3 linked regions of the Schizosaccharomyces pombe genome follow. Changing the gene in region 2 together with the main gene of any one other region gives a genetic interaction. Each region holds a gene or a part of one and is shown on either strand. Other genes may lie near its edges.

Region 1 (2,832 bases), on a different chromosome or scaffold from region 2:
ATAGAATAGCCACTTGTACCATGCCCTGTGGCATAACGAGCGTATTCGGTAATTGAGTTGGAAAAGAATAGAGCCTGTATAACCGTAGTGGTTATCCAAAAAGGACCGTATAAATCGGGACGATCATCTACAACATCAAAGAAATTTACAGTGGGAATAAGAGTATGTATACATCGTTGAACCACATCTTTAGTTTCCACGTTAAATGAATCTTTGATGGTCCATGGCGTCTCTTGCATGGATGCGCGACGAGATTGTAATCTAGGGGCCGGAGGCTTTGTAATGGGAGTTCTCTGCTTATAAAGGTCTTCAGCCTCAAATGTTGTACGACCTAGGTCAGCTTCCGAGTCAATTTCAATCTCATGTGCCATAGTGGTGGTTGGATACTTGTAATGGCTTAGGGTGAACAAAGAAGTTTACTTATTGGAGGCGCTAATTGCATACAGATTTGGTATTGTGAATAAATTTAAATGCATGAAATGTTATTTAATTAAAGAAACTAATTCAGAAAAATAAGATGAAGCTTCTAATTTTGAGATTTGCTGCTTTTTCCAAATCTTAGTCTAGGTTAATTTGATCGTGAAATTTAGAGTACAGCATTGATTTCAACTCTTGAATGCGGGTTTCGTCTTTTTCCATGGAAGATCTTAATACGTCGACTTGCTTTTCCAAACTTTCTTCTGACTGCTCAAGCTGGTCAAGGAGTACAGGAAGGGAAACTTGGAAAAAGGCATCGCCAACCTTTAAAGCTGGAATATCGTCTCCATCATCCTCGTCTAGTAATTCACATTCATTTTTAGCGTCAACAATATCCTCTATTTGCGTTTTTAAATTCTTAATATCAAGTTCTTGAATGGCCTTTCGAGAATGCAACACTGAAAATTCATTTAAATTCCTTTGATCTTCTGCTAGAACAGGAACTTGTTCCATATTTGTTGCTAAGGTGTGTTAGGAGGAATAGTATATAACCCGGTTTCGTTTGTCTTAACAAACAATTGTTGGTGTAGAGATCAATGCGGTCAAGTAGAGGTTTAAGTGGAACAGTTGAATGATATGTCAAAACAGAAGGATTATTAATTAGTATAGTATTTTATCTACAAATTTAAAGAACAAAAGCTATTTTCTACAATTGAGGTCTTCAGATCCGTAATGTTTTTGCTGTCAAATAACAGGTCAAAATTTTACTATAGATTCACAGGGTATTATAAACTAAAACCAGAGAATACGGATTAAATTGACTTTTAATTTAGTTTTAATCATGGGGAATAATATTTAATAAGACAAAGTCTTAGCAAGCATACCCGTTTATAACAGGTTATCTTTAGGATTTTTCGGCATCGTCAACTGCTTTTATTATAGGCTGAGTTAGCGGAGAAAGGACTTGATGAATATATAGCAACCAAAGAGAGAGATACTTGGGATCCTCTTTGTCTATCTGAAGCATTTCGAAATAATCACGCGTACGACATGGATGGATATACCATGCTATGCCTACTGTACCTGGACAGTCCCCAATAGCAAGAGCGTCATATGCTAAATTTTGACTGGATCCTTCTAATAACTCAAAAATCTGTTCCATCTTGGTAAGAGGATCTGATCCGTTTGCATAAGGTTGAAAGAAGAACTGCGGGACTTCGAAGGATGGAGAATCCCTAATCCAGGCGTGCATAGTGATCATTGGATTCATAAGGCTTAAAATATCATCTTCTTCCTGCTCGTATAATAAGGAATCATTTTTATCAAGTAGCTCAGTATGCCATTCTAACTTCAAAATACACTCATCAAACTCAATCAACTCACAAGAAATACCACCTTTCGACAGCTTCTGAGCAAGGATAAGTAATTGAGACTTAAAGCTCATTATTGTCACGGTTAGCCAATTTAATCACTTTATCTTTGCTAAAGCAATAAGTAATTGAAGAAGGAATTATTGTCCCATAAGCCTGGCTACAGTCTGATTGTTCAACGCACTATTCCAATGAGGGCAATAGAGGCAATCACCTGTCAATATATTTGAAGTTAAGTCTCGACAAAAATGGTGTTTCAGTTATTTACAAGTATATTAATTCTACATCTTGCTTCTAAAGTTGACAATAAGAGTATGACAAAACAGTACGTTGGAGTTTACAAAGTTATCCAACAATATAGTGGTACACTGTGTAGTTACTACGTTTTCAACATTTCTTCTCAGCAAATGTAGGATTTCTTAAAAAAATAATTTTTTCGACTAGAAATTGGCGGTAATCAAGAGAAGCTAATGTATAAAAACAATATGTTTGGACTTGGAAAAAAATGAAAAACTAAGGTTTTATATTAGTAATTTCCTCTTAATACTTATACGAGCAAAAGCAAAAGCAAAAGCACTGTTCCAATGGTGCTTATAAAGCCAACTGATCTGTGAAGTAAAATTGAGATATGTGTGTAAAGCTGTTAGCAACATCAATGTCACCATTATATATTGTTAATGGGCATTACGACTTTAATCATATCTGATATGCACATATAAAAGAAATTCTCTTTTAAGGGCATGGAACGTCCTCTCAATTAGTAATTCGGAGACATTCATGTCGTTAATGTGGTTTACCGCACAGTGATTCGACTTTCTTATTGACGGCTGCCAAACACTTTACTTACATATATGTTGTTGTACAGCTTCTTACATCAACGCTAAAATATATATACATTTCCAATTTGAAACATCGTAAGGCGTTGGATCGTTCTTATCAGCGTCTAAAAAAGTAAAGAATTTGTCAAGGTCTATTATTTAATTGCTGTTTTCTTTAGATGCATGCATTATCATCAGGAAATTGATCCGTCTTTATGGTTGATGAT
Region 2 (3,760 bases):
CAATTGATACATTCCAACTTGGGTTCTTGGACAACCACCGCTCAATCTACGTGTCGCATTTTCGATTTGAAGCATCCTGAAAACGATTTGTGGACTTCTACCAACATGGATCAATTTAGCTTTGAAAATGACAAAACCTCCTTTGTCGCCAAAAATTGCTCTGTCGTGTTGGAAGACCAAAAGCGTTACCGAATTCGTGCCTCCATCAACATGGACTCCATCATCGATATAACTGTCCATCAAGACGCTCCTCCTTTTAAAATCGGTGAAGATGGAAATTCTACTTATGGAACAGATCCTAGTAAGCCCTGGGCTTCCATGAAGCATACCTTTTGGCCTCGCACTCGTGTTGAAGGTAGCATCGTTGCAAGGGGTAGAGTTGTGGATGTCACTGGTCCCGGCATGTTTGTTCATGCACTCCAAAATGGCAAACCCCACCATCTTGCTTCATCTTGGGAGTTTGCCCTCTTGCAGCATAAAAAGTTTACCGCCATCATGATGCAGTTCAAGACACCCCCTAGCTATGGTTCTACTATTGTCAATATTGGTGGTATCGCTATGAAAGACAAAATTATTAGTGCAACTGTCGATAATACTATTGAGCACGTTGAGACCACACTCGATCCCGATACGGAATGGCATGAACCCACTCGCATTTCCTACGAATGGGACGGAAAGGATGCTGAAACATACACCGAAGATATTCATCTTTCAGTCGATGCTCCTTTGGGAAGACGTCTTCAACGCATCGACGTTCTTGCCGAGATACCATCTTGGCTTAAGGGTTTCGTCCATGGAGTCTCTGGAACGAAACCTTTCATCTACCAATATTTCTCACCTGTCAAATTTACACTGAAGATGGGTGACGAGGTTATTGAAGATGAAGCCACGCTTTTTAATGAGACTACTTTTATTTCATAAGCATCTTTTAACAAAAATATTCAAGCATAAATAATTCGATGCATTTTGGGCTTAAACAAAGAGTGAACGTGCATCCATCTTTTTTTCAGAGCTTTTCTATATTAAACTCTCTGGTTTTGTATTCTTTTTTTCCTTTTTTTTGTCCTGTTGTTTTTAATTTCGTGTCTTCGAATTTTTTTTTCATACTATTTTTCGTTTTATTAAAATAACTTCATATAGACTTATCACTTATACTCTGAACTTGATAGTTGTGCTGCTCTCATATTGAATATGATTCTTGTTAATGGTCTTGTGCTACAAGCTCTGAAATTCATTCGTTCTCTTGTTTGTGTACTAAATCGATCTTGTCATCCTAATACCTATACTGATGGACATGGGCAAGGCATCTGGCAAAATTGTGCATTCGCTTATGTTTATTGAAAGACTGCAGTCTGTGTAAACGAGCGAGAATGTTTTAAAATTTTTTAAAAATTTGAATACTTTTCATTTTAGAGACTTCAAATAATATTGTTTTCATCATTAAGTGGATACTAATTAGCAACTTCTCAACTTCTATTTTATTTAAAAAACTAATTCATTGTAAATGTTGTATTGGTTTTCTACGAAAGCAGTTTTTCTATTATTGATAATTTCGCTTTTACCACTTTATAATAAAAAAGTATTGTATGTTTAATGTTTTCTAATATTTTTTTAATAAGTTTTCCTATGTTCCGATAAGAGCAGGCAGTGAACGCGTAAACAGATATATATGTATGTATTTATTATTAAAATATTATGTAAATAATTCTTAAAAAACCGAATCATTCTAGCATAAAGCATTGGAAACCAGTAATTCAACGTAACTGAATTTCACGGATTTACAAGCAAGTCGTACAGTCCTTTCTTCATTCAATAATATTGATTTAATAATAATATGTATATGCAATTTTCCTTTTTTTTTTTTTTTTTTTTTTAAACATTTTAAAATAAAGCATAGGCGTTTAATCATTTTTTATTAAAGTGCGTAACTTATGTTGTAAAAAACTACCACCTACTTTTCTCTTAAAACACCAGAATCTATAAGTGTAATGATTCCCCTTAACAACGAATTTAGAAGCTATCAATAGTATTGCGTCTGTTTTTATCAATCTCACAAACAATTATAGGAAGTATTCTGCTCGTGTGATTGTTCTTTTTCTTCTGGTAAAGATGAACATATGCATGTTTATTTGAATAGCTTAGGATTCATTATTTTTTAAGAGACAAATTTCTCGTCAATTGAATGAAACCTTCCGCCTTTATTTTCTTTTTGAATGGATATTTCAAGTTTTCTACTTCCTCAACTTTTACGTAAATATCAACAAGATGTGTATAATATCGCGAGCAAGCAAAATACTTTACTTGTTATGAGAACGGGCGCTGGTAAGACATTACTTGCTGTGAAGTTGATAAAACAAAAGCTCGAGGAGCAAATTTTAATCCAAGAATCAAATCTTGAACATAAAAAAATATCAGTTTTTCTCGTCAACAAAGTCCCTTTGGTATTTCAACAAGCGGAATACATTCGATCTCAACTACCGGCTAAGGTTGGCATGTTTTATGGCGAATTATCTATAGAAATGAGCGAGCAGTTGTTGACTAATATTATATTGAAGTATAATGTGATTGTTATTACTGCAGATTTGTTCTATTTGTTTCTTGCAAGAGGTTTTCTTTCAATAAATGATTTGAATTTAATTATATTCGACGAATGTCATCATGCAATTGGAAATGATGCGTATGCTCGCATCATGAATGATTTTTATCACAGAGCCAAAGCAGTATTGTCAAAAAAACATTTCACCCTACCAAGAATTTTTGGTATGACTGCTTCACCATTCACTGGAAAAAAAGGAAACTTATACCATCGACTGTATCAATGGGAGCAATTATTTGATTCTAAAGCACACGTGGTTTCGGAAAACGAGCTAGCCGATTACTTCTGTCTTCCCGAAGAAAGCTATGTAATGTATTCCAATAAGTTGGTTGTGCCACCCTCGGATTCTATTATCAAGAAATGCGAGGAAACTCTTCAAGGATGCAAGTTAATTTCTCGGGCTGTTAAGACTGCTTTAGCAGAAACCATAGATATGGGTCTTTGGTTTGGGGAGCAAGTTTGGTTATATTTGGTTGATTTTGTGGAAACGAAAAGATTAAAAAAAAAGGCTTTAGGGAAGCAGTTGTCAGATGACGAGGAACTGGCAATTGACCGGTTAAAAATATTTGTTGAAGATTGGAAAAATAACAAATATTCAGACAATGGCCCTAGAATCCCTGTTTTTGATTCCACTGATGTTACTGATAAAGTCTTTAAACTCTTAGAATTGTTAAAGGCTACTTACCGCAAAAGTGATAGCGTTCGTACGGTTATTTTCGTTGAAAGAAAAGCTACGGCGTTTACTTTAAGTTTGTTTATGAAAACTCTTAATCTGCCTAACATCCGCGCTCATTCTTTTATAGGACATGGACCGTCCGATCAGGGTGAATTTTCTATGACATTCAGGAGGCAAAAAGATACCCTTCATAAGTTTAAGACTGGAAAATATAATGTTTTAATTGCTACTGCAGTTGCAGAAGAAGGTATCGATGTACCATCATGTAACTTAGTTATACGCTTCAATATTTGTCGGACTGTCACCCAGTATGTCCAATCTCGAGGTAGAGCGAGAGCAATGGCTTCAAAGTTTCTAATTTTTTTAAACACAGAAGAGTTGTTAATTCATGAACGCATTCTACACGAAGAAAAAAATCTTAAATTTGCCCTTTCAGAGCTCAGCAATTCGAATATTTTTGATTCATTGGTATGTGAGGAAAGAGAACG
Region 3 (3,760 bases), on a different chromosome or scaffold from region 2:
TCGTCCGCTAATCTTGTCTCGAACAATTTGAGCATCGCGAACAGGACCAGCTTGTTCGAAAAAATCATATAATTCCCTAGAAGTCAAACGATTTGCGAGTTGAGAAACGAACACAGTACGGCGATCACGCTCTTCCTCTGAAAGTTTAGAGGAGCGTTCACGAGGACGGGAACGACTTCTCTTACGCTCATGTGAACGGTCATCATCCCTCAAGTCCTCATAATCATAATCATGGGCTCTAGAAGAACGAGAGGAGCGTTCTTCATAGCGGCGACGACTACGACTATGCCGCGAAGAGTAAGGAGGGCTGCGTGAATAATCATCGTATCGATGGCGACTACGACTTGAGGGATGGCGGCTTCGACTTGACCTTGAACTGCGATCGCGATCGCGAGAACGAACGGGTGATCTACTTTGATGAGAATCTACAGAAGAGTGAGGAGAGGGAGAGCGACTACCATAATCGGACCTTGGACTATATGATCTCCTATGGTGTCTTGGGGTGCGATGACTTGAGGAATTTGTAACTACATCATCGTTATAACCGCTATCCTCTCGTTGAAAAGATTGTTTGGAAGATCTGGCGTACCGATAACCCATTGAAACGGGAGGAGGAGTTAGACGACCTTCACTTTCGTAATTTTTAGACACGGGTTTGAAAGAGCGATCATGCAACCGTGTAGGCGGTGGAGGAGGGTTAGAGGGATGACTATGAGTGGAAGAGGTGAGTGAGGATTCATGAAAAGAAGAAGATGCCTTTTGCTGATTTTCTTGATTTTGCGGCTAGGAAAAGGGTTAGTAAAAACAATAAACACGGGAAGACAAAAAAACAAAGGGAAAAGGCGGGAAGGAAGGAAAAAAATTGTAAACGTACCACTTCTTGCTTACGAAAAGGAGCCTCAGCCAAGGCTTCCGCGTCCAGCTGCATTTAGATTAGATCTGTTTATCTATGCGTGGAAAATACGTTCGTTTATTTTCGTTTTCAATACAACAAACTCTGACAGGATCGGAACAGACTTCGACTGGAAAACTAAGTAAGCTAGTAAAAATGGAGTTTTGTCAGTCTAGTAGCTTTCGTCGCTTCTAACACGAATTGTTTTGTTAAAAAATATTAATAATGAGTACTCTTTTGAGCTATTTTGTCCTCTTTCTTTCGGTGGAAAAAAAAGTGGAATATTCTACTGCCTAAGCGATAAAAGATGAGAGAAATTTTAGTACAAACAAAAAAGAAAGCGAGGAATAGCGGAATAAGGAAATTCCAAGCTAAAAACAATTACCGACAATAAGAAGCAAAGAAACGGAAAGGAAGGAAAACAAAATTATACCTAACCAAACCAACGAAAAGTAAATCACGAAAAGTTAATAAATTTCGATCAACTTAAGGTTTTCTCTTTTCAAGTATTTTTTCGCAAATAATAATTTTTAGTCTACTATGAATAAATCAATGAATTGTATCTGTAAAGCACTTCACTCGTCTGTTCTTTCCCTGTGTATAGGCCCTTGAGTGCAATTTTCTGGTGTTCAGTTTCGGAACCCGTTTTGCGATACGGTAAATATTGTTTTCCGTTGTCTTACCATTTTTCGGAAAAGTCGATCAAAAATAGCACGATTTTTTGGTTCGCCCCGCAATGCCTTTTTGCCCTTTCCTGCGACATATATAGGCTACTGCATCCACGCCACAACATCGTGCCATTAACGCAACACAAACAAAGAACTGACATTTTGATCAATTGGACAAAAATCCAAGTAAAGAATCATAGGATCAGTTGCTACGTTGTAATATTTACTGTATTTGTTTATCAAACTCATCAGAAACACGCTTGCTACAGTTTTATCACGAATTAACAATTCATACTCCCATCTCCAAAATGGCCTCTGTTACTAGTGAAAAGTGTGTTATCCTTTCTGACGGCACTGAATACGATGGTAAGTATTTAAACAAGGAGAAATGGCAGGGTGTTTGGGTTTTGAGAAGGAGATTTGGTTGAAGGACTAAAATTTTTTCTCGGCAACAGAGTGTTTGAGAGGCAATGTATAAAAAACAATGAAAACGCATATAGCAAAGGCTTATTGGCAAAAGATCCATTGTGGGAGATGTGCCATTTCTTATCTTTTTTCTTTGTTCGTTGTGCTTTTAACTTTTTTTCACCTTTCCCCCTTTGCCTTAGTTACACCAAAATACATGTATCGTTCTTTATACTAACATTCCATTAGTCACCAACTACTTGGTTGCCAACAAGGACGCTGCTGACTTGCTTCGTCGCTATCACCGCCAAGAGGTTGCTGATATCCTTAATGCTACCTCCAAGTCCAAGCACTCTGAAGCTGTTGTTGAGATCTTGAAAAGTGCTAAGGTTCCTTTGAAGAATAAGGAATTCAGTGATCTTGTCGACCAGAACATTGGTGTCGGTTATGGCAATGAATTCATTGTCAAGCCTACCGATCTTGACAAGGATTTCGAGAAGAACCATTTCCTTGACCTCAAGAAGCCTTTATTGCCCCAAATTTTGTTTGGTAACATCAAGAAGGATGTTTATTTGGACCAAGTTCACCGTCCCCGTCATTACCGTGGCAGCGGTTCTGCTCCTTTGTTTGGAAACTTTTTGGAGCCTCTTACCAAGACCCCTTGGTATATGATTCCATTGATTTGGGTTCCCTGTGTCACTTATGGATTCTTGTACGCCTGTACCGGAATTCCCTTCTCTGTTGCTATCACCTTCTTCATCATTGGATTATTCACCTGGACTTTGGTTGAATATACTATGCATCGTTTCCTCTTCCACTTGGATGAGTACACCCCTGATCATCCTATTTTCTTGACTATGCACTTCGCATTCCACGGTTGCCACCACTTCTTACCTGCTGACAAGTACCGTCTTGTAATGCCTCCTGCTTTGTTCCTTATCTTTGCCACTCCCTGGTATCACTTTATTCAACTTGTTCTTCCTCACTACATTGGTGTTGCTGGTTTCTCTGGTGCCATTCTTGGTTACGTTTTCTACGATCTTACCCACTATTTCTTACATCACCGTCGTATGCCCAATGCTTACTTGACTGATTTGAAGACCTGGCATTTGGACCATCACTACAAGGATTACAAGTCTGCCTATGGTATCACCAGCTGGTTTTGGGACCGTGTTTTTGGAACTGAGGGACCTCTTTTCAACGAACAGGGAAAGATCAGCACTAAGGCTAAGTAGATTGTGATTGCGTTTGAATCATTTAGCTGCTAAATTGCTTTCAAGGTGTTAAAAGTTTCTTTGGTCCTTTTTAACTATCAATAATTTTGTGTGCTATATAAATCTTGTTGTATTTTTCTTTTCTTTTTTAATTGCTTTCCAAATTTTTTCTCCTCTCTTTACCCTTGAAATCACTAAGCAATTTTCCCCCATTTTCTCTCTGACTTTAACTAGGCCTTATTATAGTGCCTTAAAGCTGTGTATTATATTTGAATTGCAGAAACATCAAATTTGATTTAATTTGATTGATCCACTCGCTAAAGCATCTTGTATCCCACATTGAAATTGTCTTGTCTTTCTTCTTTTCTATTAATACTATTTTCTGGTTTCTTTTGAACAAGTTTTCAAACTTTACCTTGTTAAGTCGAACTTAATAATATTATCTTGACTATCGGCTATATAATTTGAGTCTAAGGTTGCTATTTTATTTTTCCTTTTATCTGTCTTTTAAATATAATTCGAATTTTTAATTGTTTTTACCACCCCATCTGTTTGTAGTGCGAAATGATTTTCTTGTAGAA

Evidence for each region.
Region 1: mutations in dcr1 (region 2) and pfd4 together harm fitness more than expected from each alone (negative genetic interaction), as found in Schizosaccharomyces pombe (2 studies listed by BioGRID).
Region 3: mutations in dcr1 (region 2) and scs7 together harm fitness more than expected from each alone (negative genetic interaction), as found in Schizosaccharomyces pombe (2 studies listed by BioGRID).

The regions. Positions count from the first base shown.
Region 1 is NC_003424.3:504,082-506,913, reverse strand, and holds pfd4 (prefoldin subunit 4), read right to left. Parts: upstream 1,006-2,832; 5' UTR 931-1,005; coding exon 559-930; downstream 1-558. Other genes in the region: yip5 (Rab GTPase-binding protein), read right to left, coding at 1-371; atg10 (autophagy C terminal domain family protein), read right to left, coding at 1,322-1,861; yea6 (NAD+ transporter), read left to right, coding at 2,821-2,832.
Region 2 is NC_003421.2:1,508,744-1,512,503, reverse strand, and holds the start of dcr1 (dicer), read left to right. Parts: upstream 1-1,946; 5' UTR 1,947-2,213; coding exon 2,214-3,760. Other genes in the region: ER to Golgi ceramide transport protein, lipocalin superfamily Svf1, read left to right, coding at 1-921. UniProt on the Schizosaccharomyces pombe protein: Required for G1 arrest and mating in response to nitrogen starvation. Ago1 regulation of cytokinesis and cell cycle checkpoints occurs downstream of dcr1. Required, indirectly, for regulated hyperphosphorylation of cdc2.
Region 3 is NC_003424.3:4,055,090-4,058,849, forward strand, and holds scs7 (ER sphingosine hydroxylase Scs7), read left to right. Parts: upstream 1-1,686; 5' UTR 1,687-1,868; coding exon 1,869-1,926; intron 1,927-1,946; exon of another isoform or gene 1,947-2,214; coding exon 2,215-3,200; 3' UTR 3,201-3,726; downstream 3,727-3,760. Other genes in the region: RNA-binding protein Rsd1, read right to left, coding at 1-783, 875-928. UniProt on the Schizosaccharomyces pombe protein: Ceramide hydroxylase involved in the hydroxylation of sphingolipid-associated very long chain fatty acids. Postulated to hydroxylate the very long chain fatty acid of dihydroceramides and phytoceramides at C-2.